Tamandua tetradactyla: one gene and its partner. The protein of the gene in region 1 purifies or fractionates together with the protein of each later gene. This does not show direct contact. Links are inferred from orthologs where the notes say so. Each region holds a gene or a part of one and is shown in the gene's direction. Other genes may lie near its edges. The genes, in order: CAPN2 and AFG2B.

Region 1 (16,859 bases):
GTTTATAATCATCATGTATTATGATGAGTCCCAGTATAAACAAATATGTGTAGTATATAGAGTCTGCATTTTCCAGTTACCTAAATCTTCTCTTTTGATTTTGATAAAATTTAAGGAAGACAGAAATCTGCACTTGAAGTCAAAGTGATGAGGGATAAATCAAATGTTTTTTGTTTGCTTGTTTTAAATGGCTTTTAGCTGATGCTGTAAAGAGCAATGTCCTTAGAACTGTGACACTAATTAAAGAAAGTCCTTTCTAAGAAGGTGCATTTCTTCACCAGAGCTGTGTCTCACCAACCATTGGGCCCTTTGCTAGAAAAGTAGAATCCAATCTTAAATTATTCCTTTTAAATTGTATCCTCTAGTATTCCAGATATAGGACAATACTGTATCATACCTCTTGTACCTGCTTTATGATATGTAGTAGTGACCATGCTATATCAGACCTGCTTTTAATGACATTATTCTAAAATATTTTTCTTTCCAGGTGATGATCGAGAAGCTAATAAAAGTGCCAGGTTCCATAAAAGCAATACAACTTGCTATTTTCTGGGATTTTTGTATTTAACTTTTTTTTTTTAATGGAGTGTGCTGATGCCCCTATAATTTTGTTCAGATAACTGCAGAGCCTGGAAAAGCTGTTGCTGTTGTTGATACATGGCATACTGCTCTTGGTCTTTTTATATAAATATAAATATATGTATTGTTTGAATTTTTGGAAACTTTAGCTATGCTGTCAACTTTGGGAAAAGTATACCAGTTGTACCATGTTGAGCTGGCATTGTACAGAAATTAACAGCCATATTGGTCTAGAAACATTAAACTTACTTTTTTTCCACTTGTACAGAAGTAACACACTGTGTTAAATATGTAAGGGCTTATCAACATGGCTTTGATTATAGAAACTAATAAAGTATTCTCTAAATAATGAAAAAAATGATGGAGGTATTTTCATATTTATGTAGCCATGTATATTTTCTACTAACTTTGATACCTCACATTTATTTCACCCTATTTAATTGCCACTATAATTTAAACAACAACAACAAAAAATGCAATCCCAAAATGATTTTAGAACATGTGTTTGAATAGTAGTTTTCAGTTTGAAGAATAACAGTTGCAGATACTAGGTTGATAATCAATTATCTTAACTTTGAAAATATGTATATATTAGTTATAAGAGTTTTTAATTAAATACATAGACAATTTCTCAAATGACAGATTTTGATGGCAAAATACATAGAATATTTTTACTGTGCAAAAAAGTTATGTTTTGAACATTACAAATGAAAAGGTTTTATGATAAATTTTATAAATTAAGCTGGGTTTTTGGTTTGGTAAAGCTGTTGAAACACCATATACCAGAAATGGGTTGGCTTTTAACAATGGGGATTTATTAACTTACAATTTACAGTTCTTAGGCCATGGAAATGTCCAACTCACAGCATCAACAGGAGGATACCTGGACTCTGAAGACAGGCTGCCAGCATCGGGGGCTCCTCTGTCACATACTAAGGCACATGGCAGTGTCTGCTTTACCTTTTCTCCCCATTTCATTGCTCCAGTGGTTCAGCTTCTGGCTTCAGTGGCTCCGTTTCTCAACTTCTCTGGTGCTCTTCTCTGTGTGCTTCTCTTAATTTCATCTCTTTTAGCTTCTCTAAGAGAGATACTTTATCCTCTTATAAAAGACTCCAGCAAGAGGATGAAGACCCATCCTGAATGGGGCGGGTCACATCTCAATTAGAAATAACCTAATCAAAGATCCCACCTATAATATGTCTAACTCACAGGAACAGATTAAACAAACATGGCCTTTTCTGGTATACATATATATATTTTATGGTATATCATAGTTTCGACCTACTGCTCTGGGAGAAGTAGAGGAAACCCCAACTTAATGAAAAGATGTTTTCTAATTTCTGAATGGAACAGTTACAGCTAACTAAGATCTATAATAAAGAAAATGTCATGTTAAATATATATAAAAAAATTATACGGAGCATGGAACTAGTAAATGATTATAGCAAGAATAACAGGTTAATATATAAAAGCCAATTGCTTTCCTGTATACTAGCAATGAAAAATTGGAATTTGAAATTAAATAAAAAACACAATGCCAAAAAAAGAAACAAAAAGAAGAAATTCTTAAGTATAAATCTAACCAAATATGTACAAGATCTATATGAGGAAAACTACAAAACCTTAAGGAAAAAGTCAAAGATCTAAATAAATGGGGAGACATTCCATGTTCATGGATAGGAAAAGTCAATATTATGAAGATGCTAAGTCTTCCTGAATTGATTTATAGCTTCAATGAAATCCCAATCAGCATCCCAGCAAGTTATTTTGTGAATTTCAACAAAATGATTCTAAAGTTTATATGGAAAGGCAAAAGACCCAGAATATCCAACACAGTACTGAAGAAGAACAAAGTCAGAGACTAGCTTCAAAACTTACTATAAAGCTACAATGATCAAAACAGTGTGGCATTGGCAAAGAATAGCCAAATAGATTAACGACCAAACTGGAAAGCCCAGAAATAAACTGACACAAATACAAATATAGTCAACTGCACTGTGACAAAAGAGCAAAGGCAATTCAATGGAGATAGTCTTTTCAGCAAAGTTGTTAGAAAACTGAACATCTATATGCAAAAAAAAAAAAAAAATCTAGACCCAGACCTTACACCTCTCACAGAAGTTAACTCAAAATCATTCATAGAGCTAATGTAAAATGTGAAACCATAAAACTTCTATAAGATAACATAAGAGAAAATCTAGATGGCTTTCAGTTTGGGAATGATTTTTTTTTTTTTAGATACACACCAAAAGCAAGAAAAAAATTGATGTTGGACTTCATTAAAATTTGAAACTTCTGCTCTGCAAAGTACACACAAAGAAAAGAGAAGCTAGAGACTGGGAGAAAATATTTGTAGAATATATATCTGATAAAGGACTTCTGTAAAAAAAATATACAGAATTCTATATCTGACTTCCGGGCCAAGATGGTGGCTAAACAATGTGCGCATTTTAGTTCGTCCCCTAGAACAACTACCAAATAACCAGAAACAGTACAGAAAGCTCCTGGGGCCACGTCAGTGACCAGACACACAGCGTACCCCAGTATGGACTAGCTGGACTGGCTGCAAGCCCCCCCCAGAACCGTGAGCTTCCCAAGCTGTGCATGGCAGCCGGCGCCCCTCCCCCACAGACTGCTTCCGAGAGGGGAAAGGAAAGAGACTTTACCAGCAGCAGGGGCTGAGCCCAACCAAACATCAATTGTGGAATTAAGTAACAAATTCTGACAGCTAAAAATAGGCCCCCAGCTCAGGTGAACCTGGTCAAAGCTGAGGTTGCTCATTTTAGCCCCAGCGCCAAGGGGGCAGGGCTGACAAAAAAAGGAAAAAAAAGAAGGAAACAGGTTTTTGTGGCTGTGTTTCTACAAAGGCTTGACTGCCTTTGGATATAGAGGCAGGGCTCCTCAGGCTGCATCTGCCCCAGGCATAGGCAGAAACAAGCTCATTTGAGGCCTTGTCTGGAGCCTTTGCCTTCCGCAGGGGAGGGGTGAAGCCCAAGGAATCCCTCCCTCAAGGAATTCAGACCCCAGGGCTTGGTAATTTGAAGCCATTAAAACCAGCCTACAACCTCTCCTCTGTTTCCACCACACCTCCAGCAGGGAGAGTCTGCCAAAGTTAAAGGTGCCGCATCATCTTATGCTGGTGGGACCTGCAGGCAGACAAGTGCCACATACTGGGCAGGATAAGAAAAACAGAGCCCAGAGACTTCACAGGAAGGTCTTTCAACCTGCTGGGTCTCACCCTCAGAGAAAACTGATGCAGGTGACTCTTTCCTCCTGATAGGAGGCCAGTTTGGTCTGGGAAAATCTGGCTGGGGTCTATAACACCTAAGTAGACCCTCCTAAGTGTGTGTGGGGGGAAGGCACCATACAAGCAGGGCAAGAAACAAGAAAACAAGAACTGAAAAATTCTCCTCTGTTAAACAAAACTTATGCTAGAGGTCCAGATGAAGCAGAACTGAATGTCAAAGAACAGACAGACAACAAACTCACCCAACAAGAAAACCCTAGATAAAAGAAGTGAAAGCAATCTCCAGAATAAACTAACTAAGGCAATTAAATGCCTAGATGCCAGCAAAAAATAACAAATCACACTAGGAAAATGGAAGATATGGCCCAGTCAAAGAAACAAACCAACAATTCAAATGAGATACAGGAGCTGAAACATTTAATTCAGAATATATGAACAGACACGGAAAACCTCATCAAAAACCAAATCAATGAATTGAGGGAGGATATAAAGAAGGCAAGAAATGAATAAAAAGAAGAAATCGAAAGTCTGAAAAAACAAATCACAGAACTTATGGGAATGAAAGGCATGGTAGAAGAGATGAAAAAAACAATGGAAACCTACAATGGTAGATTTCAAGAGACAGAGGTTAGGATTAGTGAACTGGAGGATGGAACATCTGAAATCCAAAAAGAAACAGAAACTATAGGGAAAAGAATGGAAAAATATGAGCAGGGACTCAGGGAATTGAATAATATGAAGCGCACAAATATACATGTTGTGGGTGTCCCGGAAGGAGAAGAGAAGGGAAAAGGAGGAGAAAAACTAATGGAGGAAATTATCACTGAAAATTTCCGAACTCTTATGAAAGACTTAAAATTACAGATCCAAGAAGTGCAGGGTACCCCAAAGAGAATAGATCCAAATAGACATACTCCAAGACATTTACTAATCAGAATGTCAGACGTCAAAGAGAAAGAGAGAATCTTGAAAGCAGCAAGAGAAAAGCAATCCATCACATGCAAGGGAAACCCAATAAGATTATGTGTAACTCTCTCAGCAGAAACCATGGAGGCGAGAAGACAGTGGGATGATATATTTAAATTATTAAAAGAGAAAAACTGCCAACAAAGAATTCTATATCCAGCAAAACTGTCCTTCAAAAATGAGGGAGAAATTAAAACATTTTCAGACAAAAAATCACTGAGAGAATTTGTGACCAAGAGACCAGCTCTGCAAGAAATACTAAGGGGAACACTAGAGACAGATATGAAAAGACATAAGAGAGAGGTGTGGAGAAGAGTATAGAAAGGAAGACTATGAATAAAGGTAAAAAGAAGGAAAATTAGATATGACATATAAAATCCAGAAGGCAAAATAGTAGAAGAAAGTACTACCCATGCAGTAATAACACTGAATGTTAATGGATTAAACTCTCCAATCAAAAGCCTGGCAGAATGGATTACAAAACAGGACCCATCTATATGCTGTCTCTACTCAAAGGACACGAGGCCAAGGACACAAATGGACATTTACACACCAATGTTTATAGCAGCACTATTAACAATTACCAAGAGATGGAAACAGCCAAAATGTCCATCAACAGATGGGTGGCTAAACAAATTGTGGCATATACATACGATGGAATATTATGCAGCTGTAAGACAGAGTAAAGTTACGAATTACGTAACAATATGGATGGACCTTAAGGACATTATGCTGAGTGTGATTAGCCAAAAATGAAAGGTCAAATACTGTATGGTCTCACTGATATGAACTGACATTAGTGAATAAACTTGGAATATTTTGTTGGTAACAGAGACCATGAGGAGATAGAAATAGGGTAAGATATTGGGTAATTGGAGCTGAAGGGATACAGATTGTGCAACAGGACTGAATATAAAAACTCAGAAATGGACAGCACGATATTACCTAACTGTAATGCAATTATGTTAAAACACTGAATGAAGCTGAATGTGAGAATGATAGAGGGAGGAGGGCTGAGGCATAAATGAAATCACAAAGAAAGATAGATGATAGACTGAGGTGGTATAATCTGGGAATGCCTAGAGTGTATAATGATAGTGACTAAATGTACAAATTTTAAAAATGTTTTTGTATGAGGAAGAACAAAGGAATGTCATTACTGCAGGGTGCTGAAAATAGATGGTAATTAATATTTTAAAATTTCAACTTATGTGTGAGACTAAAGCAAAAAATGTTTATTTGGTGCAAAATTTATATTTTGATTAGTTCATCTCCTAATAAAACTTATGTAGATAGTTGGTTGAACAACCTAAGTACATGGAACCTTGGGTAGGATATGAGATGTTGGTTTGTCCAGAGTGATACCAAGATGAATCCTAGAGTGATTTGATCAGTGAGTGGAAAAGTATTTGCAAAGTCCCCTTCGGAGAATGGTGAGAACGGGGGAAAATTCAACCTCTCCAAGTTGAATTCTTGATATTCTCACAAGCAGTGTGGACAACCAAAGCTATAGGCTGAGCCCCCAGTCTTGGGGTTTGTTCATATGAAACTTAACCCCACAGGGGATAGGTCAAGCCTACTTAAAATTAGGCCTAAGAGTCACCCTCAAGAGAACCTCTTTTGTTGCTCAGATGTGGCCTCTCCAGCCAACACAACAAGCAAACTCACCACCCTACCCCTGATAGGTGGGACATGACTACCAGGGGTGGACCTTCCTGGCAACGTGGGACAGAAATACGAGAATGAGCTGGGACTCAGCATCAAGGGATTGAGAAAAACCCTAGAATGAGCTGAGACCCAGCATCAACAGACTGAGAAAATCCTCTTGACCAAAACGGGGAGGAGTGAAATGAGACAAATTGTCAATGGCTGAGAGATTCCAAACAGAGTCGAGAGGTTATCCTGGATGTTATTCTTACGCATTTTAAGTAGATATCACCTTGTTATCCAAGATGTAATGGAGAGGCTGGAGGGAACTGCCTGAAAATGTAGAGCTGTGTTCCAGTAGCCATGTTTCTTGATAATAATTGTATAATGATATAGCTTTCACAATGTGACTGTGTGATTGTGAAAACCCTGTATCTGATGCTCCTTTTATCTACCTTGTCAACAGATGAGTAGAACATATGGAATAAAAATAAATAATAGGGGGAACAAATGTTAAAATAAGTTCAGTTTGAAATGCTAGTGATCAATGAAAGGGAGGGGTAAGGGGTATGGTATGTAAAATTTTTTTTTTCTGTCTTCATTTTATTTTTCTGTTGTCCTTTTATATCTTTTTCTGAATTGATGCAAATGTTCTAAGAAATAACCATGATGATGAATATGCAACTATGTGATGATATTGTGAATTACTGATTATACATGTAGAATGGAATGAGCATATATTAGGAATGTGTTTCTTTCTTGTAATTTTTTTAATTAATAAAAAATTTTTTTTAAATATACAAAGAACTTGCGAAACTCAACAATAAGAAAACAAACAACTCACTTAAAAATGGGTAAAACATTTGAACAGACACCTCACCAAAAAAACATACAGTGGAAAATGAGCATTTGAAAAGATGTTCAATATCACGTCATTAGGGAATTAAAATTAAAACAACAATGACATGACACTACACACCTATTAGAATTACTAAAATTCTAAACACTGACAACACCAAATGTTGACAAAGATATGAAGCAACAGGAACTCTCATTCATTGCCGCTGTGAATGCAAAATGGTACAGCCACTTTGGAAGAGAGTTAGGCAGTTTCTTAAAAAACTTACCATATGACCCAGTAATTGCACTCATAGATATTTATCCAAATGAGTTGAAAACTTATATCCACACAAAAACCTGCACATGGATGTTTAAAAGCAGCTTTACTCATAATTGCCAAAAATAGGACGCAATCAAGATGCCCTTCCAAAGGTTAATGGATAATCAAAGTGTGATATATCCATACAATAGAATATTATTTAGCAATAAAAACAAATGAGCTATCAATCCACAAAAAGATGTGGAGGAAATTTAAATGTTTATTGCTAAGTGAAAGAATCCCATCTGAAAAAGGCTACATACAGTACAGTCCAACTATATGACATTCTGGAAAATGCAAAGCTATAAAGACAGTAAAAATATCTGTAGTTGCCAAGTGTTCAGGGAAAGGATAAGAAAGATGAGTAGGTGGAGCACAGGTGCATTTTAGGGTAGTGAAAACATTCTGTATGATACTGTAAAGGCAGATATATGACATGTACTTGTCAAAACCCATGGAACTATATGAGGCAAACCTAATGTAATGGACTAACGGACCTTAGTTAATAATAATGTATCAATATTGGTTCATCAGTTATAACAAATATACTACACTAATGCAAGATGTTGATGATAAGACAAAGTATGGAAAGCAAGAAGGCATATGGGAACTCTCCATACTTTCTGCTAAACTTAAATTTTCTGTAAACCTAAAACTACTCTAAAAAATAAAGCCTATTAAAAACATATGAAAACAAAAAAAATACAAGAAAACAAATAAAAAACATATATGAAGCAAAGGAATATTGAAATGGATGTTCAAATATACATGAGTGTACTTTTTCCCACAAAAGGGAGGGTAGTTCCATAATTGGGCAGAATTCATTTGCATGTCTTAAAAGGAGAATTATTTTACATTGCTACACTTATCTGCAACTAAGAATTTAAGATAATTAAAAAACAATGAAAGGATAGAATCAGATAATATGGAAGGAGATGTTCTAAACCAGAGTTTCTCAACATCAGCATTATTGATATTTTGGACCAAATAATTCTTTGCTATGGGGAACTGTCCTGGACAGTGTAAAATGTTTAGCAGCTTCTCTGACTTGTACCCAATAAAGAGCAGTAGTAACCCCAACCCCCTCAAGCCATGAAGCTATGACAATCAAAAAATGTCTCCAGACATTGTCAAATGTCCCTTGGGGTAGGGGTGGGAGGCAAAAATTACCCCCAGTTAGAACCATTGTTCTAGACAATGCAATTTTCCATTGAAACACAAATTCTTCCCTATATCCAGAAGAAGCAACCTTTTCCAATCCATACATCTTTAGCACATAACCCATTTCTCTCTGTGAGCTGACAGAATCGCATGCTGTCTCTCCCACAGAGCGGTTAAAGAAACAACTAGCATGGGCACTGTTCTAAGTGTCCTACCAAGGAGCAACTCAATGCTCAATGAATTCCTCCAACTATTATTGTTCTCATTTTAGAAATGGGGAAACCGAGCCACCGAAATGTTAGCTAACTTGCCCAAGAACAACACACAGCTACTAAATAGTAGAGTTGGGATTCAAACCCAGGTGGGCTGGCTTCAACATCTATGTTTTAACCACAGACTCACCTCCACCCCCACCTCCAACAGAGCCTGGCATGTAATAAGACGCTGAAAGATGCCTAATCAATGAAGGAATCAAGTTGCTAGCTTTGGAACTCTTTCCTAACCCTGAGCCTCCTAAGGCCGTCCCAGCTGGCCTGCCATTGCATAGCTAGATGCCCCAGAGTTAGAGGACCATGAAACCTCCTTGATTACAGTTCAAAATGAAAAACAAGCACCCTTGGTTAAATTTGAATTTCAGGTAAACAAGGAGTGGTCTTTATTATTATTATTATTTTTAGTATAAGTATTTTCTGTGCAATATTTAGGACATATATATATAAAGGGGGAATTTAATAAGTTACAAGTTTACAGTTCTAAAGAAGTGAAAATGTCCAAGTAAGGCGCCAACAAGAGGTTACCTACACTCAAGAAAGGTGGATTGGTCTGGAACACCTCTTTCAGCTGGGAAGTCACGTGGAGGACAATATTCTTAATACACAAAAGTATTCCTTGTTTATCTGAAATTCAAATTTAGCTAGGCATCCTGTATTTTTATTTGCCAAATATGGCAACTCCACTTGTGATATTATAGCTGATCAGTAACAGTGTAGCATCGCGACTTCTAGTCGTGCCCCGTTCACTTAACCTCTCTGATCCTCAGTTTTCTCATCTGTAAAATGAGGACAGTACAGTACCTTCTTCAAAGAGGTGTTGGGAGGATTAAATAAGGTAACATATATAGAGCCTAGAGCCAGTAGTACGGTGTCTGGCACAAAGCAGAGCCCAATTAATGGTAGCTAGTCTAATCCTAGCTCCCTAATTTCCTACTGACTCATAAGGTGTTTCCAGGATAGTTAACAATTATCCCAGCCTCGGGTTTCTCCCAGCCTTCCTCCCCGGAAAGTAGGAAGTTGGCAGCCGGGTCTTGGATTGAGCCGCAGTAGCCCAGCCCCGCCGCGCCCCTCGCGCCGCCCCGGGAGCGGCCGGCAGGTGGCAGCACAGGCCTCGCGTGCCGCGGTCCCCGGCCGGACCTCCCCAGGCCCCGGGGGGAGCCGCGTCCCGGGCCGCGCCGCCGAGCAGGCCGGGAGCGGCCGAGGCCACACCCAGGCCGGGCGGGGAGCGTTTCCCCTTCTGGGTGAATCATCTTCCGCAGCTGCCGCTCCCGCAGTCCCGTTGCAGCGCGCCCAGGCCTCGTCAGCGCCCCTGACCCGCGCAGGGAGCCAGACGCCCCCACCCTCGCTCCTTCTCGGGCCGGGGACCAGCGCCATGGCGGGAATCGCAGCCAAACTGGTGAAGGACCGGGAGGCGGCCGAGGGGCTGGGCTCCCACGAGAAAGCCATCAAGTACCTCAATCAGGACTACGAGGCACTGCGGGACGAGTGCCTGGAAGCCGGCGCGCTCTTTCAGGACCCCTCCTTCCCGGCCATCGCGTCTTCCCTGGGCTTCAAGGAGCTGGGACCCTACTCCAGCAAGACGCAGGGCATCGTGTGGAAGAGGCCCACGGTAGGAGCGCGGGCGCGGCCGGGTGCAGGGCGGGGAGGGGGCCCGGGCCCCCCGGTGCCAGGAGCACCCCGCGGTGTGGACGGAAAGCAGCACCGGGGAAAGTCGCAAACCAGAGTGAGCCTTCCGGCTGACTCGCCCCGGGCTGCCTCCATCCCGTTACCCTGGGCCCCGAGGGTAGCCTGGATCTCCGGCGCTCTGCGGTCCTCAGAGGGGTTTGGCTCCCTCTTCCACTCCCAACACCCAGGACGGGTCGTGTCGAGGTGGGTCTCTGTCCTCAAATCCCATTGCAGGTCTGCTAGGGGAGCCACCTTTGAACTTTGACACAAGGGGGGAGATAAGTTTTATTGGACCCTGGTGGGAAGATGTTGGGAAGTGGGTTGGGGGGTTCGCAAGAGGCAGTCTCTGACAAAGTCAGTCTCTACCTCCGCTTATCTCTTCTTCAGGAGCAGGAAAAGTCCAGAGCCCACTTCGTTTTGTGACTAAGTATTGTGTCACACAGTTGAAGTGGTTAGATGTATCACTCAGAGTTTTATGTTCACTTTTCTAAATGGGATTTAGCAAAAACGGCCTGTAATGTTTAAATTGGTGATTAACAAAAGACTTGGGAGATGCTGCAAAGAGCAAGTTTATCATCCTTCCAGTGCCCCAGAAACCTCACCTGGAGAGCTTTTCCAGCCCTTACACCTGAATGTCCAGCCTCTTAATCTAGATGTCCATTTAGTTTCCCAAGAAACCCCTGCTAGCTCCTGCCCTCTCCTATAGGACATGTCACCAAGCTACCTCCACCATCCCTAAATGAGGCTTCCTGGGAAAGCCAACCTTTAGATTCCTAAAGGAATAAGCATCCCTGCCCTGCTTCTACTCCCCTGAGCCTCCCAGGTCACCCCACTGTTATATTCAGACAAGTCACCCAACAGTTGGAGATGCTTGTGGGACTTCTGAATGAGGATATAGAGATCTTGAGGGTTGTAATACGTTATGGATTGGGACCTCTTCATTTCAGGGCAGCTACTTAGAGTATGGCAGACTGTACTACACAGCTGAGGGGGAGGTGTAGCTGTTATTATTCTCATGAGGCAGTTGAAGGCGTTGAAGCTTCAGGTATACATGGTGGTACCAAGTTTCTAACCTGTGCGTGTTTTGAGCCCTCAACTTTACGGTTGCCCTCACTGCTTCTGTCTGTCCTACCACTGTCAGACTCCACTGTGGTCAGGCAAGAAAAAAGAAAACTTCCAGCTGGATGTGTCCATTACCAAGACTTTAGCAGAGCAATTTCAAGGGAAAGATGGCAGTAGAAGCCAGCTTGCATTAGGCGGAGGAGTAAATCTACTCCAGAGAAAGGTACTGGGAACAAGGGAAGAGAGACAGGAATGGGTAGAGCGGGGCCTAGGGTGGGAGAGGCTGGTATTTTCTTCACATGAAAGCACCTTATATGTGCTCTATATTGAGCCACCAGAGAAGAAGGAATTAAAGATAAAGAAGAAAGGAGGTAATCATGAGACAGGATCCCTGAGGAAATAGGAGTATAGGGTCCTTGGAGGACAGGGGTCTGTCTGGTCAGCCTTGGCGTGAATAGGGACTGCTCTTCCTCAAACAGAGGTTGGTTCTCCTGTGGGCAGGGCCAGAGGGCTAGAAGACAAAAGATTTTACAATATTGGCAAGAGAGGGCCTCCAGGAATGGGAAAAGGAATAAAGCAGAAAATGGCTGAAGTCACGGTGAGCTCCTAGGGCTGGTGCAGGAAGCATAGTAAGGAAAGAACTGTCATGATTGGAGGATGTCACCTCAGAAGCTCCCAGCTACAGACAGTCGGGTAAGAGCAAGGGCAGGTATTTCTATTCCCCATTCTTCCCCCTGAGGGAACCAAGCCTCTGAAGTATTCACAACTCACTTATTTTGCACTGGTTGAATTCAGCCTCAAACCAACATCTCCTGCCTCCAAGCTCAGGGATTATCATCATCAAATTTTTTCAAAATAATGCTGGTGGGAGGTAACATTTATAGAGTGCTTACCAAGGCATATTTACATATTTATTTCATAACCCTGAAAACCTCTGCAGTAGATATACTTGTCACCATCTCCATTCTACAGATGAGGAAACTAAAGCATAAAAAGCTAAGTTTCTTACCTAGCATCATAGAGCCCATCTGAAGTGAGTTTGAATCCAAAGCCCAAGCCCCCGACCTCTTTCCCCTGACTGTTACAGCCAGTGTTTAATGCAATGCCCTAATGCTGTGCACAAGTTTTGGCTTTCTGGATCATCTCTAAACACCACTCTGAAATTTGACTTTTTTGGAGAGACTGCCAGAGGCATGAGAAAGTTTCTGAAACATGATGGAAAAATCCTTCAGGGGAAGTGCTTGGCACATTGAGGATTATCAGTATGAGTGTCCATAATAAAGAGGCTCCTAGCACTAGGCAGCCAGATAAGTGCTCAGTTGGCAGGCCTCAGGCAATGCAGGTTTCTTTTGGCTCGCAGAAAAGCATTCTCATTGCCCCTGGCATTCCCCAAACAGATTGACCTGAGCAGGGATAGAGACAATGCAGAGGCATTAAAGGCATTTGCTCTGCAACTGAGTGTGGCTCACGAAGAGCCTCTACAATCCAAGCCAGCTTGGACAGGGCCTGCATCCAGCAGATCTCAACCAAGAAATTGGGACCGAGGCACCCGCATATGATGCTCAAACAGGCATGAGATGGAAGAGCAGCTTGTACAAACCAAGGTTGTCCAAGCCAAGAACAACCCAGATTCATGCCCCCAACTTCCTCTGTGGCTTTGGGGTGGAGCTCTTATGAATCAGGAAACACACTCAGAGAGCTACTGAAAGAGTCTGAGCCAGAAGTGTTCAAGGTTGGTTTCATCCAGCCACTTGTGGTACGGTCGTCCCTGGGGTTTTAGTGCCCTTGGAGTCCTGTTACTAATCAATTAGTGGCTGTGCAGATGTGAAGAGTGTGTCATCAGAGTAAGACCGGTGAATTCAAATCCCAGTACCAAGCACCATCTATCATAATGAGTTGTGTAACTTCAGAAAAACCTCTTTACCTCTTTGAACCCATTCCCTCATCTGTAAAATGGGGATAATACCCATCTTGTGTTCTTGGAAGAATTGCATTAGATAAAGCATCAAGCACAATATGTGAATCCAAAGCCCAAGCCTTCAACCCTTCCCCTGATTGCTACAGCCATGTTTAATTCAGTGCTGTATTACTGTGCAAAAGGGTCACTTTTCAGAAGCATCTCTAAGCACTACCTAACATATGGATGATCCAAGTATTATTGGGACATCCCATAAATCATGGAAGAATTCAGAAGGCTCCTAATGATACACTTCCATGCCCTCAAGAAATGTGTACGTGTTAGGAAGACAAGAGTAATACCCATGAACACCAAAAGACAATCTGCCATTAAGTGCTAAACTGCAGAGTACAAATACTGTGAGTATCAGAATCAAGGGGAGGGGTGTGGGGATAGATTACGAAGGAAGGCTTCATGGAGGAGGTGAGAGTGAGCCTTGAAATGTGGGAAGATAAGAGAAAGGAGAGAACAAGGCAGGAAAGGGAGGAGTTCCATGCAAGCAAAACAGCTGCAGCGTTATTCACAACAGGCCAAGTTTAAAACATCGTGACCATCGATGAATGGATGAATGGATGAATACAGCATGGTATATACATACAATAGAATATTATCTAGCTTTAAAAGGAAATGAAGTTCTGATCCGTGTACAACTGAATGAACTCAGAAAACATCATAGCCAGTGAAATAAGCCAGACACAAAAGGACAAATATTGATGAATTCACTTTTATGAGATATCTAGAATAAGCTAATCCATGAAGATAGAAGGTCAATTAGAGGTTACCAGGAGCTGGGAGGATGGAGGAATGGGGAGTTACTGCTTTATAGGTAGAGTTTCAGTTAGGGGTGATAAAAAAGTTTCTATAATGCACAGTGGTGGTGGTAGCACAACATTGTAAATGTTATTGTCACTAAAGTGCACTCTTAAAAATGGTGAAAATGGCAAATTTTATATTATATATATTTTACCATGTTTTTAAACACTTTGGTAAAATTGAGAAAAAAAATACTTGCATTCAAGGACAGAGGAGCGGGTACAAGCATGGCAGACAGGGTGGCTCCAGGTTATAGAGGGCCTTAGAGTCAGAGGAGACTGGGCTTGATGCTGCCACAGCCACCAGGAAATAGCAGGTGGATGTAGGCTCTAGGCAGTGGGAATGTGTGTGGTCGGTTACTGCTCTTCTCAGTCAGATGCGTCCACCACCCACACCCATTGGGACCCCCGGAGCAGGGTTCTGCCATGGCAGCAGAACAGGGGCTTCCCTTGAGGGAGACATTTCCCAGGGGGGAGGGAAAGGGGGAGAAGCGGTCCAAAGTACCTCTGGGGAACTGAGGCATCCAAAATGCAAATGTGCATGCACGGTGGACTAATAGGTCTGTTGGTCTCGTTCCCAGGAGATCTGCGATGACCCCCAGTTCATTGTTGAAGGAGCCACCCGTACAGACATCTGCCAAGGAGCCTTAGGTAAGTGGTGACATCCAGAGCAAGTTGTGGGGTTGGGTCTACAAGACCGGGGTGAAGGGAGTGACGGTGGCTTCTCTCCCTTTCAGAAGAAGCTTAGTGATTTCCATTTCCAGCTTTCTGAGCTCCTGGAATTTCTTGTCCCCAAAGGTAGCAGTTCTACCCCCAACCCCATGCCAAGCACACCAATGCATATGTACAGGATTGAGGGACTCCTGGGCCCCAGCACTGGGCTAGTTCCTGGGGTTACAAAGATGCTCCCCCGGAAGAATTGAGGAGCTCCTGATTTCAGCCACCAATTGGTCTCTGTATCCTCTGGAGCCAGTGTCACCAGGTGGCCTGTGAAATGGTCAGGGTCTGGGCCGAGGGCCGGGTGGGAGGACACCTCCAGGCCAGTAACAGGTTTAAGATACCAGTGCTCTGAGGTTCAGGGACAGGGGAAGGTGACTCAGTGTGAATGAAGAGAAGACCCTAATGCTCACTGCTGAGAGGAAGTCCAACTACCACAGAGTCTTCAGTGTTTGCAAGACAAGCTCACCATGGTTTCACAACAGTAGGAAGCGGTGTATTTCCTTGTAAAGGCAGTTGGAATGTTTAAGTAAAGCTAACTGGAGTAGCTGAGTGTGAAGGTCTACAACTTTGCTCTCTGAAGGTGAGTTCTGATGTGTTTTTCTGGATATAGTGCTGTCTGTGGATTTGAACCCATAGTCCTCCAACTTTAGTATGAAAGCTACCAAAGAAGTCCCAGTGGGGGCTGGGACTATTATTTAAAATTCTCATAGAATCCACCCTTGATTTATTTTTGTTGATGATAAATATGGGTCTGTAATTGCTTGAGCAGATTATTTGTTCTGGTAAACGAAAAACTTGTTTCCTGCCACCAGTTTCAGCTAGCTCCCCAAACGAGTTCATCTTGTAGTCCCTTTTCTCACTTACCTAGCGGAGATTCTAATACTCATAATAACAACTAATATCGATTGAACATTTACTATGTGCTGGAAATTAAACTGTACTTGAGAAAACGCTAAGGTTTTTTGATAATTCCCATTTTATAGATGAAGATTCCGGGGTCCTAGTAACTTGCTTAAGGTCCCCTGAAGTAGGGACCTGGTGTGCAGATGCATTCAGGCGGGTCCAGGGCTTGTGTGCTTAGCTCCTGAGCTAGACTCCTGAGAAGGAGGCCTGGAAAAGTTCTCACCCCCGAACGGATGTCAGGCAGCTATGTGAATCATTAGGACAGGTACATGGGAGCCCGGTAGGAAATTCCTCTGAGGGAGACCATGACGCAGGACTGGGCAGCAGAACCAAGCTGATTTAAGTTCAGTGCCCAGATTCCTGAGATGCCAGAGCACGTTCTCACCTGCAGAAAGCATGGCTCCCCATTTCCACCTTCTGTCTCCCATTTCCCCCTCTCCCTCCAAAAGAAAGAAGGCCAGGCGTCCCCAGGTGTCTAAGGTGGGTGCTCTGTGGAAATCCATTGTTTAGAGAAGAGGGAAGATAATGGGGCTGGAAGTTGATGGAAACGTCACCCAATCCTGGAGGGCTTTAGAGACTCCAGAGACAAATGTAGCAACTGCCACACCTGTAGTAAACACCACACCTGTACTAAATATCTACTTCAGAGCTTAACAACATCTTCAGAGCCAAATTGCAAGTAATGAATGCCTGATGTAAGTCTTGTTTA
Region 2 (16,188 bases), on another chromosome or scaffold:
GGAAGTTACTTTTCTCTACCTCAGTTTCCTCATCTGTAAAACAGAAATAACAGTTCCAACCTCCCTCAGTTATTATGAGGATTAACTGAGATAATACATGTAAAGCACTTAGAACTGTGCCTGCTGATATATAAACTATTATTGTTTAGGAGAGCCTTACAATATATGCCAACAGAGCATTTTACTTTTCAAAAGAAACTTCCCATCTCCCTACTCCATATTAGTGACAGACCCTTCTGATAAGAAAAATTTAGAATTGCCATAGCCCAAACACTCCTAAAGAGAGGGGAGGAAAGATCAAAGATGATGGTGGAGTTATACTGAGAAGATAGAATTTAACAAATGAATATGAATGCTGAATCATTAAATTGGTATCTCTTTTTGTCTCCACTGGTTCAGAACAATGTTAGTTGGGCGGGCCACAGTGGCTCAGCAGGCAAGAATGCTCGCCTGCCATGCCAGAGGACCTGGGTTCGATTCCCAGTGCCTGCCCATGTTAAAAAAAAAAAAGAAAGAAACAATGCTAGCCCACATTAGGAGACGGTAAAGTGAAAGATGACTAAGACATAGCATTAATGTGTAAAATCATGAGGGAACAGAGCAAACACAGATAGGAAAATAACTAACTCATTCAAGGCAGAATGAAGCCAACTAGTAAAAGGAGTGCAGATTACCTGAAGAAAAATACCAAAGGAAAAATGAATTAATTCTGGTTGGGCGTGTTTTTGGCCAAAATTCCAATCCACCAGCACTAGAGCATGTCAGGCACTGTATCATGGTTCTCAAACACACTGAGTTTACTCGAAGTCAGAAGAGTTTGGAGGTCTGGGAGTAGAAGGGCAACACAGAAATAACCCCAAGAAAATTCTGAAAAATGCCTAGGCATTCATGGCCACTCCCACACATTTTGTGTGTGTGTGTGGGGAAGCAGTGACCTTCATTTCACTAGACAAATGAACCATTCAGTACTAAGGACAATGTGATTATTCTAAAGAAACTTCTCTATCTGAGAGGATTCAGAATGTGTACCTTCCTCCCTTTGTTTTCAGTTTGCTGTTTTGGAACCTAGTAGATCAGTTTCTTTTGTGCAGTCAGCTCTCCATTTTTAAGCCAAAAGGTCACAAGATCTCTACTCTTTCTCTCTCAGAGCTTGGATTTTTCCAACAAGATGCTTCCAATTCATAAGACAAAATGGGGCAGCAAAGATATTTTCTGATCCCCTGCTGTGCTGGTTTGAAAGGAAGTATGCCCCCTACAAAAGCCATGTTTTAATCAAAATATCATTTCATAAAGGTAGAATAATCTCTATTCAATACTGTATGTTTGAAACTATAATCAGATCATCTCCCTGGATGATGGGATTTAGTCAAGAGTGGTTCTTAAACTGGATTAGGGGACGACATGTCTCCACCCATTTGGGTGGGTCTTGATTGGTTTATTGGAATCCTATAAAAGAGGAAATATTTTGGAGAATGAGAGATAGCAGAGAATGCTACAGCACCATGAAGCAGAGAGTCCACCAGCCAGCGACCTTTGGAGATGAAGAAGGAAAACTCCTCCCGGGGAGCTTCATGAAACTGAAAGCCAGGAGAGAAAGTTAGTAGATGATGCTATGTCCGCCATATGCCCTTCGAGCTGAGAGAGAAGCCCTGACTGTGTTCGCCATGTGCCTTCTCACTTGAGAGAGAAACCCTGAACTTCATCGGCCTTCTTGAACCAAGGTATCTTTTCCTGGAAGCCTTTGATTGGACACTTCTATAGACTTTTTTTAATTGGGACATTTTCTCGGCCTTAGAACTGTAAACCAGCAACTTATTAAATTCCCCTTCTTAAAAGCTGTTCCGTTTCTGGTATATTGCATTCCAGCAGCTTGCAAATTAGAACACCTGCCTATCTTTATGCCTTAGAAATTAGAAATTAAAGATTTCATTCCATTCTTAGAAGGAGTATAACAAAGCACTAGGAGGAAAATTTTGATGAAGTCACCTGTGAAATCACTATGAATAAACCATCTTTAGATGTTGTTTTCCCAATTCCTGTAGCTGGCTTTTTTTTTTTTTTGGCATGTTTTAGATTCTTAGGCTGCTTAAAGCAAATTCCATGAAGTGGTTTGCCTTGAACAGTAGGAATTTATTAGCTTACAGTTTTGAAGCAAGAAAATGTCCATATCAAGATATCATCAAAGTGATGCTTTCTTCCTGAAGATTGGCTACCAGTGATCCTTGGTCCTCAGCCACATGGCAAGGTTCATGGCGGCATCTGCTGGTCTCTGCCTTCTTTTCCAGGTTTCATTGCTTTCAGCTTCTTGCTTCTGTGATGTTCTCTTTCTGTATTCATTCCATTTATAAAGGATTCCAGTAATAGGATTAAGTTCCATCCTGAATCATGTGGGCCACAATTAACTGAAGCAGTCTGATCAACAGGTACTACTTACAATATGTTTACATCCACAGGAATGGACTAAATTTAAGAACATGGTTTTCTGGGGTACAGACTGCTTCAAATCACCATAGATGGTGCTTTCCCAATTTCTGTAGGCTGGCCTTTTTTTTTGGTTTAGTCACAAAGATTAGATCATATGCAGACAATATTAGGTCAATTCTTAGACAAGTCTGAGTGTTTGAGAGCTCTAGGATTCGTTAGGGTAGACTAAATTTCTCAGTTCTAATAGACCTCAGATATAATACCCAAACTGATCAAAGTATAATAGTTTTCTGGCTGGATTAATATAGTGGCTAAATGGATGGAGTTTAGTTTGGAGGCTACTACAATAATCCATGAAAACTGGTAAGTATTCCTAACTGATAGCAGGAATAGAAAAGGGGGGGATGGATGTTTTTAGGTAAGCCTATAGCACATGGATTTCCAATTACATATTATAATCAACCCTAAAATACAGCATTTGAATGTTAACAATAATTATGGAGGCAATCCTGAATTGTAACAAACTCTTAAAATGCTTTATCTAGTCAAAATTAAGTGTGCAAAAAAAAAAGTGTGCAAAAGAGGGAAGGTTCAATGATAGAAATGGCAGGAAGGGCTGGTCTTAGTCAGGAGTAGGGACACTTCCTTGAGTTCTATTCAGTATCTAGTAAATCAGGGTAGAAAAAGATATAAATACACACACAGTATGAATCACCAGACTGTAGTCCCTAAAATCAATAAAAAACTCAATTCAACAAGTATTTATTGAGTACCAACTACATGCCAGCATACTATTAAATTCTTAAGTATACCACAGATATATATACTTTTTGAGTTAGCTCCCAAATGTAAACAATTTACTAACTCAGAATAACACAATTAGAAAAAAAAAATTAGAAAGTAAGCGCCAAAAGTATGGTAAAGACAAAACTGTCCTCTTTTAATATCTTAAACACAGAAAACATATGTCAACTTCAGAGCATTAGCACAGGTTTTTCTGGTGCCTGATACACTCTTCTAGCCCTCTATATGAAACCCCTGACCCCCAGTCTTCTGCTTTGCTTGCTAAGCATCCTTTAGCCTCAGCTTAAATGTTGCTTTTTCAGAGAAGCCTTCCTGACTTCCCCATCTAAAGTAGTCTTTTTCTGTTTATTTCCTTTCTTTCATCTAATTATCTGGTTTAGTCACATATTTATTCCTTTAAAGTCTGAGTTCCCCACTAGACCATAAACTTTGAGAAGGCAAAGATATGTTTTTGTTTTTTGTTTTCACCACCAAATATTTAGCCTCAGGTACAGTAATTAGCACAATGTAGATGTGCAATAAATATCTGTTGAATAAATTTATGGATTTTATATTTTTATTAGTTGAACAGTTTGAACTAACATCATGGGGAAAAATTATCTTCAAGATTTAACTTTCAAAAAATAATGAATGAAGCAAACAATATCCTGAAAATCTGAAGAATGGCGTTTTGGAATGGTGTTCTGTGAACAATTGCCAGAATGGGGGCATAGTCCAAAAAAAGTTTCTCTTGGTTCTAATCACACCCCCACCCCCACCCCTTACCCTGCGTCTGTATCTTTTAAAGAATAATTGTAGCCTGCATACATGAGCCTCTGCCACTAAAAATTGAAATTTTTAAAGAACAATTTTAACAATATCCTATATGGGGATGTTGTTAAATATATGGGGAAGGCTTTCATTACATAATTTAAAATGACAAAACTTGTTTGGCATATTAGGTGTCTGTGGAAATAAGTCACTTGCTATATCTACATGGAGATTTTGAAATGAAAATTTACAAATTATGCATTTTCAAGTGTGGTTAAATGAATAACTATATCTGTTACAGCTCATAATCATTGCTAATACTCAAATATATTAGGATTGCATACAACATAAACTGGAAACACAAGAAATATTGGCATTCACTAATCTATAGGTGGCTCATGCTACTGGCTCAACCAAGCATTTACTTTAGAGTTTTCAAAATTAGTATGTATTTCATATTCTGAAAAATAATATTTTGTAGATAATATTATTGATGCTGAAAGTACCAAAATATTGTATAATTATTATTCTAAAAAGAGAAATAAGTTCCAATTATTTCTTTTGCATTCTAAAAATATTGTTAAAAAGAAAACTCACTGTTAATCTAATATTAGGCAGACTGTAACCTTGAACGTAGCAACTGAAATCAAAACAAACTATTTATTAAATGCATCTCTTGAGGAAAAATTTCACAAAAGGTAGTATGTTTAGCGGGGCACTCTGAAACAATTCAAAGCTAGAACTGTTTCTAGGGTGTAGCAAGATGAACTTGGCTTATTTGGATTTTGATCTACCACTAAATTTTGCATTTATGGAAAGTCTCATTTTGATATTTAAAAAAATTAAATTTTAACTTGGAAACTGAGTTCTGGTCTGATGTATACAAAATTATGTTAAAATTAGTAAATTATGTTAAAATTAGTAACAGTATATAGAGACAACATGACTGTTTCATATACCAGGGTATGAGTCTTGGGAAAATCTAAGCCACTTAATCCTAACTCATACTTCAAACTCAACAACCTTGTACCCTTCAGGCTTATTTGGTTCTGGACTCCCTCTACTGTTCAACCTTTTGACGCTTTAATTGGTACTCTATAATTCAAAGAATTACCAACTTTGGGGTTATATTAAAAACAACCATAAGAACCACATAACCCCGATTTTCCACATGGAGAAGATGATGTCATTGAATGATATGAAAATTATGGATGTTAAAATGGTTGAAATAATAGTGTTGCAAATAGTCTGACCAAAAAGGAACAGAATGAATTCCGCTGGTTAACTGGAAAAGTCAGTTATAATAAGAGTTCTGCTGGGAGTGAGTGGGTAAGAGTTGAAGGGCCAGGAACAGGAATCCTGATTGCTTCCGCTTGCAACTTAAGATGAGGGCTGAGCCTTATAAGGAGAGGGTGAAGTAAATGTTTCCTGGGGACATGGGTCCTACAGGGTCAGAAAATTCCAGTTTGACCTCATGTAAAGTCAAACTCTAGACCAACCAAAACAACAAGTAATTTCCTCATCATTATGTCACTAAAATTGCAGCCTCTACTCTCAACTGCTTTAAAGCAATGCAGAAAATGCTATGACTTATTTAACTTTATTTGCATCCTTTTTTATCAGTTGGCTTTGATTATGCCTCTTTGACTATATCTTACAAGAAAATCTTGGACCTCTTCCACATGACCATACTCAAACTATGAAGACAAAGTCTCTTAAGTTTACTCCATGAAACTTTCACCTCCTGGTCAATTATGCACTATAGATATAAACAAAATCTACCAACTCTTTCACATGACAACCTTTTACACATTTAGGACAGTTATCATATTAAGTCTCCTCTCCTTTTCTAGATCCTCGGAGCTTCTGGAACCTAAAATAAAAGTGACCTCCATGAGCAGAAGTACAGACATCAGTATAGGAAAACTTGATGTATACTTCACTGACACTTTCAGGAATGAGTAAAAATAATGGCTTATTTCAGAAGACAGTAAGATTAAGAGAAGGATGAAAATAGGAAGTAATGTGGGTTTACCCATTTCAGGACCTCTTCCTGCTGCTGTTACTTTCTGATTTCTTTAAGTTGCTCCGGCACTGGATTTGAAAAGGTACAGAAGAGACTGATCAAATTATTGCGGAATCCAGAAGTTATGTCATAGCGTCTGCCCTGAAGTTTGGACAGAATGAGACCAGGAAAGGCACTGATTTTAAGACCACCAAATCTGACAATACTTTCCATTGAGAGCACTGTTATACAGTCTGCAATAGCTTATTTGCATAGATAGGGAGGTAAAAATAAACATCCCAGTGATGTTAAGCACTCTATTTGCAACTTCAATTTTGATCTTCTCATAAACCATACAAAGATGTGAATAGAATAAAAGCAAGGCATATTTTCTTGACTTCGATATCTGCAGTTCTTTTTGATGAGCACAGATAGAAGGGATAGGAAATGTATTCCATTATTATGAAAAAATAATTCCCTGTGGGGAGGGAAGAAATATGAAAAGCACATGGAAAAATAACAGGCAGTAGTTTTAATGGCGTAGATAGGCCTCGCCTCTGATACAGGACTTACTACTGCTATGCCCCAAATAGAAAGTAAGCACTTATCTCATGAACAGAAGAGGTTGTGATTACCTATCCTTTGTTTTTGTCAAAGAACATTCAAAGAAGGGAATCTCGAATCAGAGTAAAATGTGTTGGACTGCCACAAATATAACCGCTGTCCTAGTTTTCCTTCTTTCCCCTCTCCAAGGGATTTAAAATGCCACAAAGTGTCTCTTTTTCAATGCTGACGCTTTTCTAGAGGAAGGCCGCGCGTCAATCTCATAGACAGGTTGGGATCCTGATTATCGAAGGCGTCAAGTCTGTATTCTCAGCTATCTCAAGTCTCTGAAGATATTAGCATGAAAGCACCCAACAATACTGTGCCCGTAAGCTGACACTCCAAAAGTGGAAGTTCTTGCTAGACCAAGGAAAGAGTATGCACCCAAACCGCCCAGGTACATGCTTAATGAGCTGATCAAGGTAAGCTTACGCTGCCTCGTAAACATCAGCAGCGAAGATCATCTCTCTAAACTCTGGGAGGGGCGACTCGGTTTGATCAATGCGGACAGCGCAACAACCTTAAACCTAGGGCCGGAGCTCCATCTAACTTTCCGACTGGCCCTTCCCGTCGCCACTCAGCAGCCTCCCTTAGCGCATGCGCGTCACCTAATTCCGGTGGGGAGCGGGGTGTGCCAGCTTTTCCAGTCCGGGTGGAATTCAGACTTTTTTTTTTTTTTTTTTTTTTAAACCTCGGCCTCTGCTCCTGCGCACACAATGGCTCCGGACTCCGGTTCCTTTCCAGAAGGGCCGCTTTTACGGCTGTTACCTTTAGAAGCTAAGGATCGGGGCACCCAGCGCTGTCGCCTGGGCCCGGCAGCCCTCCGTGCCTTGGGCGCACGCTTAGGGTCGGCGGTGAAGATCTCGCTTCCAGTCGGCGGCTCCTGTCTCTGTACAGTTTGGCCGCGACGCGACAGAGCGGACGGCTTTGTGCAGCTGGACCTGCAGTGTGCGAGCCCCGGGGCGGCAGGGGGGGCGTCGGGGACCTTGGGAACCTTAAGTCTGAGCCGCCTCCGCCTGGTGCCTTGCCCGCTCCTGCGGCGCCTCACCGTGTGGCCGGTGTTGCGCGACCGAACTGGCACGCCGGACGCCGCGAGTCCTGCCGACGTGCTGGAGGCCGCTCAGGAGCTGCTGAGGAACCGACCGGTCTCACGGGGCCACGTGGTGTCCGTGCCGCCGGGCGCACCCGGTCCTTTGGCCGCCCTGCACGTTGTCGGCGGGACACCCAGCCCGGATCCGGCCGGGCTGGTCACCCCTCGCACCCGCGTCGTCCTCAGCAGGGCGCCGCCGTCGGAATCCGAGCAGCGGCCGGAGGTGCCCCTGGGAGGCCTGTCCGAGGCGGCCGACTCACTCCGAGAGCTCCTTAGCCTGCCGCTCCGCTACCCTCGCACCCTGGCCGCCCTGGGTCTAGACGTGCCTCGCGGGGTGCTCCTGGCAGGCCCTCCTGGAGTGGGCAAGACCCAGTTGGTGCGGGCCGTGGCCCGGGAAACGGGCGCCGAGCTGCTGGCAGTGAGCGCTCCAACGCTTCAGGGCGCCCGGCCCGGGCAGACAGAAGAGAACGTGCGACGGGTCTTCCAGCGCGCCCAGGAGTTGGCCAGCTGCGGGCCCTGCCTCCTCTTTCTGGATGAGGTGGACGCCCTGTGCCCCCGACGGGGCGGCCCCTACGGGGCTCCGGAGAACCGCGTGGTAGCCCAGGTGTTGACGCTGCTGGACGGCATCAGTGGGGACCGAGAGGTGGTGGTTGTAGGAGCCACGAGCCGGCCAGACGCGCTAGACCCAGCCCTGCGGAGACCTGGGAGATTTGATCGAGAGGTGAACAGACCCGCCGGCTACCCCTTTGTCCCTGGAACTTTAGCCTCTGTTCCTGGTTGGCTGTCTCGAGGCGTTTCCCACTTAGATTTGGAAGTTACTGAAGTGGGACCGGGGCGCTTTTAATGCAGGAGACGTGTTTTCCGAGCCTATATCGTCTGTAAGCTAGGGCGTGTTTTCCCCCAGATTCATATTGTTCTGGGAAGCAAGGAGAGTTCACAAATACTCATGGTTTTTGTTGTAGAGATCTTGGAGATGAGCGCTATAGTCAATTATGTTAATTCTTAAGGGAACTAGGTCTGCCACGAGCATATTAAACTCATATGGAATTGAAATGAGAATTTAAAGCACAAGGATAGTCTCAAGTAATAAGTATATTGAAATAAAAATGGGGAGGGCAGTGGGGAAGTAAATGAAGTCTTTTGGATTTATTAATTCCTTCTCAAGAAGGAATTCTTGTCTCACCACAGAGAAAGTACCCACTGTTGCTCTGGAGTTGTCGAGAAATTGAGTATTCAAAGCTGACCTTTTAATAAGCTTTGGTCTTAAATTGATTCTTTCTTTCTCCATTGAACTTTTATTTGAATGTAATCTTTGGGACAATTTTCCAAAAGGGCCAGTATTTCTCAGTTTAATCTGAGGTCATAATAGCCCCTCAACGAAACAGTATTTGGAATTTCAGTTTCTCTCCTTTGTCATTGACTCACTGCCTCCCATCATCAATATTTATTGTTTATTTACAGTGAACAGGCACAGTAAAACATGCAAAAACATTGTCCCTGGTCTTAAGGAGCTTACCTTCTAAAAGGAAAAAGTACGGCTCTTTTAAAATTGTTTTTTTGTTTGATGTTTTCTGCAAGATACTGAAGAAATAGTCTATAGGGTGAGGTTTAAGTATAACTTATCTCTATCATTATTTGGAGAATAGAAGAAGGATTTAAAGGCAGACAATGACAAAAGATTTAAGGGAGGTAAACACAATCTCATCAGCTAAGGAGAGATTTGCTGTAGTAAACACATCAACTTAATACATTTAATTCTTAATGATTATGCTTGGGTTGTCCATGAAAATTTTGTAAGATATTAAACAAAGCTAGTCCTCATCAAGGTATTTCCCTGTAACTATTTTTACAGCACATGCATGTTAGGCAAGTATCAAAAAAAAAAAAAAATTCACAAAAGCAAAAAACCTTAAAAAAGTTAAGTACTTGGGCTTTTGGTTTTAATGGCTCTGCTTTATATACATGAAGTAATGGATGTCAAAGCAACTCATTTTTGCTGCATCATTACTTGTACGGTTCTTAGGTTGCCTGAAACATTTCATACAAATAAAATGAGCATAGCAAATAATAAATGAAATCAGAAAGAAAGACGATAAAAATTGAGATGATATAGTCTAGGAATACCTAGAGTGTATAATGATAGTGATTATTTTTATTTTATTTTTTTTAACTTTTTTAAATTAATTAAAGAAATTAACAAACAAAACATTAAGATATCATTCCATTCTACATGTACAATCAGTAATTCTTAATATCATCACAGTTGCATATTCATCATTTCTTAGAACATTTGCATAATGATAGTGATTAAATGTACTAATTTTAAAAATGTTTTCGCATGAGGAAGAACAAAGGAATGTCATTACTTCAGAGTGCTGAAAATAGATGGTAGTTAATATTTTAAAATTTCAACTTATGTGTGAGACTAAAGCTAAAAATGTTTATTTGGTACAAAATTTATATTTTGACTAGTGCATTTCCTAATATAACTTATGTAGATAACTTGATTGAACACCCTAAGTACTTAGAACCTTGGGTAGAACATGAGATTTTGTTGGTTTGTCTAGAGTGGTACCCCGATGAATCCCAGAGTGATTTGATCAGGGAGTGGAAAAGTATTCGCAAAGTCCCCTTCGGGGAATGGTGAAAACAGAGAAAAATTCAACTTCCCCAAGTTGAATTCTTGATAGTCTCACAAGCAGTGTGGACAACCAAAGCTATAGGCTGAGCCCCCAGTCTTGGGGTTTGTTCATATGAAACTTAACCCCACAAAGGATAGGTCAAGCCTACTTAAAATTAGGCCTAAGAGTCACCCCCAAGAGAGCCTCTTTTGTTGCTCAGATGTGGCCTCTCTCTCCAGCCAAAACAACAAGCAAACTCACCACCCTCCCCCTGTCTGCGTGGGACATGACTCCCAGGGGTGTGGACCTTCCTGGCAACGTGAAACAGAAATCCTAGAATGAGCTGAGACTCAGCGTCAAGGAATTGAGAAAACGTACTTGACCAAAAGGGGGAAAAGTGAAATGAGACAAAGTGTCAATGGCTGAGAGACTCCAAACAGAGTTGAGAGATTATCCTGGAGGTTATTCTTACGCATTAACCAGATATCACCTTGTTATTCAAGATGTAATGGAGAGGCTGGAGGGAACTGCCTGAAAATGTAGAGCTGTGTTCCAGTAGCCATGTTTCTTGAGGATGATTGAATAATGATATAGCTTTCACAATGTGACTGTGTGATTGTGAAAACCTTGTGTCTGATGCTCCTTTTATCTACCTTATCAACAGACGAGTAGAACATATGGAATAAAAATAAATAATAGGGAGAACAAATGTTAAAATAAATTTAGTTTGAAATGCTAGTGATCAATAAGAGGGAGGGGTAAGGGGTATGGTATGTATAAATTTTTTTTCTGTTTTCGTTTTATTTCTTTTTCTGAATAGATGCAAATGTTCCAAGAAATGATGCTGATAAATATGCAACTATGTAATGATATTGTGAATTATTATATATGTAGAACAGAATGATCAAAATAGGAATGTTTGCATTTTTAAAAAAATGAAAGCAAATAAGTAACTTTACAAATAATGGAATGTGAACCGATTCTGCCCTTCTCCAGAGTAAATTGGGTCACAACTTTCTCTAAAGGAATGCTTCCTGCAGCTGTAGTCAAAGGTATGCACATTGAGATTGTGGAGCCCACAGATATACATGGTTCAACATGTAATATTGATAGGGTGTCTGTTTCTACCACAGCTTTGAATGTGCTCCAAACTTGAAAGTACCCACAGTAGGTATACTTGTGATGGAACCAATTGTCCTTTTTATCCTCCAATGTGTAGGCAGTTTTAACAATTGGCAGACATTGTGAAGCCGCAATGTACCAAAAGTACCATGCCTAACATAACTTGTGTAACAATTCCACTTCCCAATATTGGCCACTTCAAGATGAAAACAGATAACTCTTTAAATGTTAACTGGCTCTACTCTCCTAATATTAAACGTAAAAACCACATGGGAAATACAGAAATTCAAGTAGAAGTAACATAAATATGTCATAAATTATAAAGAATTGTGGGATAGCAAGGGTGACAGTCAACTGTAAATTTTAAAATGAGACAGACAAAAGTTGAAATGCCGGTTCATTTTCCCTTCTACTTCAGCTTTGTCTCCTTGGGTATCCTATGTCTACATTGTGTTATGTTGTCTCTCAGTAATTACATTATTAGCATACTATCTTTGTATAATTCTTAATATGTCAAATTCAGCAATGGCTTCATCAAAAGCTGTCTTTGCAAGAGAGCAGGCTTTCTCCAGGGAGTTCATAATATCCTAAGAGAACACAGAATAGTTAAGGACAGGACCCAATCTGATAGGATGCATTGGTTGCATTTCCTTCTTGCTGATTTCAAATGCTTCTTGGTATATTTGTGAATGATCCGCCATCCCTTTCTTGCCATCAGCAGCAGAGTTGGCCAAGTAACAGTAATAGGCTCCTTTCATTTTTAAATAGAAAACTTAGCTTTCTGTTTGTGAGGCATTGCGGATCAAGAACTTTTGCAAAAACGACAGTGTATCATTGCAGATTTTACTTAGCTTGGTCTCAGTTTTCTCTATTTTTGAACCATATGCTGTTTTTTCTCAGCACTTGATGTCTTTTGCTCAATACCTGAGATGACCTTTCAAGATGACCTGCGAGCACCTACAACATTTTTATAAGCAAATGAAAGAAGATTTCTCTCTTAATTGGATAATTCAGCTCCTTGCTCAGTGACAGACTTCACGCAGGCTGCCCTGTCATCGTATAACTCAATCTCCTCAGCTAGTTTGGCCTTCTGCACCAGCTCTTTTTTATCCATGACTGATGTTCTGTGCCCAAAGTAGGTGGCAGTGGACTTTTCAGGCTCAGTAGTGTGTGGGCCCTAAAATGATTCTTGAATTCTGATAGTTTGAAATTCATTGGTTAGTTGAACTTTTTGGTAGGATGCTAAGCAGACTGATAACAATTGCACACTTTTAGTCTCACCTGATAAGACTTAAGTGGATTTCCTTGCATTATTTGGTACCTGTCTTCTGAATAAGTTCTTATTGGTCAGAGACCTAGACTATGTGATTTACTGTTCTATTTCTGTCTCCTAGAACATGGTAGGGTGTCATAAAGAATAAAAATTTGTTATATGATATATACTGTTTTCATTGTGCATGTTTTTAGTCAGTGTTAGTCCTTTGGAAAATTAATGCGTAGAGTCCTAATTTTTTGTATATTCAGAACCAAAGGTATCCTTAGATACTAAATTATTGCACACATTTGTGAGGATTAAAAAAATCTAATATTTTAATCTGTATCCATTTTAATTTTTCTGTTTTTGCTTTTCATGTAGGTTGTTATTGGCACTCCTACTCTTAAGCAAAGAAAGGAAATTCTGCAAGTGATTACCTCAAAGATGCCCACCTGCAGTCATGTTGATTTGGGCCTCCTTGCAGAAATGACAGTTGGCTATGTTGGTGCAGACCTGACAGCACTGTGTAGAGAGGCTGCCATGCACGCCATGCTTCATTGCAATAAGGTAAGAAATAATTGATTTATGACCTTTTGCCTACCTTGGTCTTTTTGTTCGTTTAACAGATTAATTTGAGGATTAGAAAAAAAGGGCAAGTACTTTTTCTTGGAAATTTTGATAGCTTCCACAGTCATTTCTTTTTTCTTTTTATTTTTTTGTGATCATTCCATTCTACATATATAATCCGTAATTCACAGTATCATCATGTAGTTGCATATTCATCATCATGATCATTTCTTAGAACATTTGCATCAATTCAGAAAAAGAAATAAGACAACAGAAAAAAATTCATACATACCATATCCCTTACCCCTCCCTTTCATTGATCACTAGTATTTCAATCTAAATTTATTTTAACATTTGGTCCCCCATTATTTATTTTTATTTCATTTGTTTTACTCGTCTGTTGATAAGGTAGATAAACGGAGCATCAGACACAAGGTTTTCACAATCACACAGTCACATTGTGAAAGCTATATCATTATACAGTCATCTTTAAGAAACATGGCTACTGGAACACAGCTCCACATTTTCAGGCATTTCCCTCCAGCCTCTCCATTACATCTTGACTAACAAGGTGATATCTATTTATTGCTTCAGAATTACCTCCAGGATAACCTCTCAACTCTGTTTGCAATCTGTCAGCCATTGACACTTTATTTTGTCTCATTTCACTCCTCCCCCACTTTTGGTCGAGAACGTTTTCTCAATCCCTTGATGCTGAGTCTCAGCTCATTCTAGGATTTCTGTCCCATGTTGCCAGGAAGGTCCACACCCCTGGGAGTCATGTCCCACGTAGAGGGGGGGAGGGTGGTGAGTTTGCTTGTTGTGTTGGCTGGAGAGAGAGGCCACATCTGAGCAACAAAGATTCTCTTGAGGGTGACTCTTAGGCCTAATTTTAAGTAGGCTTGACCTATCCTTTGTGGGGTTAAGCTTCATATGAACAAACCCCAAGATTGAGGGCTCAGCCTATTGCTTTGGTTGTCCCCACTGCTTCCACAGTCATTTCTTCAATATATTTTTATATCTCAACTACATATAAATAATATATGATAGACGGGGAGAAAAGACTGAGTGTTACCCAGTAAATTTTTTCCCTGCTTTCATTGTAACTCCGTCGTGCTGTAACCAACGGTTTCCATAGCAGCCAGCAAAGTCAGTGGCCCCAAGAAAATCAAACTTTTTTTTTAATTTTGAAAATTATAAGTTTTGAAACAATTTCAGACTTAAGCAAAAATGGTACAAAGAATATGTCTGTCCCTTTAACCCAAATTCTCCAAGTGTTAGCATTTTACCATGTTTGCGTTATTGTTTCTTTATGTGTATATTTATATATTTTTTTCTGGAACATTGAGAATAATGCTACAGTCATGATACCTTTTTGCCTCTGAAAACTTAAGTGTATATTTCCTAAAAACAGAATTTTTCTTACACAACTGTAGTATAGTTATCAAAATGAGAAATTAGTACTTATACAATATTTCTGCATATTCTATATAAACCTGATCTAAATTTCACCATTTGTCCCACTAATTTCCTTCATATCAAACTTTAGAAAGAAAGAGAGAGACAGAGACAGAGAAAGGAAGGAAAAACATATATAGGTCACTTGGATAAGATGATATCTGTAATGTTTCTCTTTTGTTAAACTTCTATGTTTTCCCTTTGTTATTAATGAGTATCTTGCGGAGGGAAAATGTTTCTAACTCAGAAGATCAGGCACCTGTAATTTTATTTAAATTTGTCTTTAACATTGAAGACTTAAATTCATTACTACTTTTCTCAAAAATATTTAGAGTATTGGCTTAAATATAATCATTTTAATACTACTGATTGCGAAAGTCAGGTCATTTTGTATATAAGTAATCATAAATCCTTAAACCCCTTCAGGGAAAAAAATTAATTTCAGCAGGCTGAATATTCTGGGACAAAGTTTTTAATTTTAGTTGTAACATTAAAATTGCTTTTTGATTTTGTAATTTTTAAAAACCAATCTTAAATTTGTGTAAACTATGAAAGGATGATTTATCATCTTAAATTTTGAAAAAAATTTTTATCTAGACAATTCATCCCCTTCTTCCTTTTACTTTATTTCTGCTCTTACACTAAAGGTAAGGAGTAACTTGAACTCCTCTTAAGTCCTCATCTTCTGGATTTAGAACCAAAACTGCGTGAAGTTTTAATGACAGGTTCCATGTGTAAACTTGTGAGAATATATGTCTTTTGGGGGTGAGGTGAAGGTGAGGGGCTGGGGGGATAAGTACCAGGAGATGAGCAAAGGAGATGTACATTTAGGATTCCCTCTGCTTTGAAGTTCCAGGTTTGACTCTTCAGCACCTCTGGCTTAGGAAAGAGGAGGACAGTCAGCTGCTGCTGTCCTAGGAGTACCCAGGGGTAGTTACCACAGGTGATGGCTGAGCTCAGAAACAACTCAGGGGAAGTGTGGAAGAAAGTACAGAGGGATCTGGATTAGCTCTATCTTTTTCTTCTTTTCACTACCAAGTTGCCATGGGGCTATTTTTGCCGCTATCTGTGCCAGGGCAGACAAGGGATACAGTAAAGTTTGCTAAACTTCCTGTGAAGTGATGTTCCTTCTAAAGGATTAGAAATAGGATTTAACATACACACAGAGAGGAAAGAATTTTATCTGCCTGAAAGGGTTGTTATAAGAATTAAATGAAATAGTATATATACAAGTAAGCATAAACTATAAAAAGGATTTATAAAAGTTAGTTGGTATTACCTAAAAACTAATTAGTATTCGAGTACCTAAGATCTGATACTTCCAGCCAGAAAAAAAAAAGCAATTTTAAAAACCATGTAATAATGTTCTTATTAAAAATGAGAACTTGTGGAAAAAAATAAATTTTTAGAATTTAGTGTGTAGGCATATAGTTCAGTGTATATAATAAAGATGTCACAAATAGAAATATAAGGAGTTTTTAACTCTTTA

What was found.
Region 2: the proteins of CAPN2 (region 1) and AFG2B purify together in Homo sapiens (co-immunoprecipitation; 3 studies listed by BioGRID and IntAct, with this or other methods). This does not show direct contact. The link is inferred for Tamandua tetradactyla from reciprocal best matches to the Homo sapiens genes CAPN2 and AFG2B.

The regions. Positions count from the first base shown.
Region 1 is NC_135328.1:137,672,193-137,689,051, reverse strand, and holds the start of CAPN2 (calpain-2 catalytic subunit), read left to right. Parts: upstream 1-10,248; 5' UTR 10,249-10,403; coding exon 10,404-10,640; intron 10,641-15,108; coding exon 15,109-15,178; intron 15,179-16,859. UniProt on the Homo sapiens protein: Calcium-regulated non-lysosomal thiol-protease which catalyzes limited proteolysis of substrates involved in cytoskeletal remodeling and signal transduction. Proteolytically cleaves MYOC at 'Arg-226'.
Region 2 is NC_135340.1:59,649,696-59,665,883, forward strand, and holds the start of AFG2B (ATPase family gene 2 protein homolog B), read left to right. Parts: upstream 1-7,268; 5' UTR 7,269-7,302; coding exon 7,303-8,397; intron 8,398-13,055; coding exon 13,056-13,241; intron 13,242-16,188. UniProt on the Homo sapiens protein: ATP-dependent chaperone part of the 55LCC heterohexameric ATPase complex which is chromatin-associated and promotes replisome proteostasis to maintain replication fork progression and genome stability.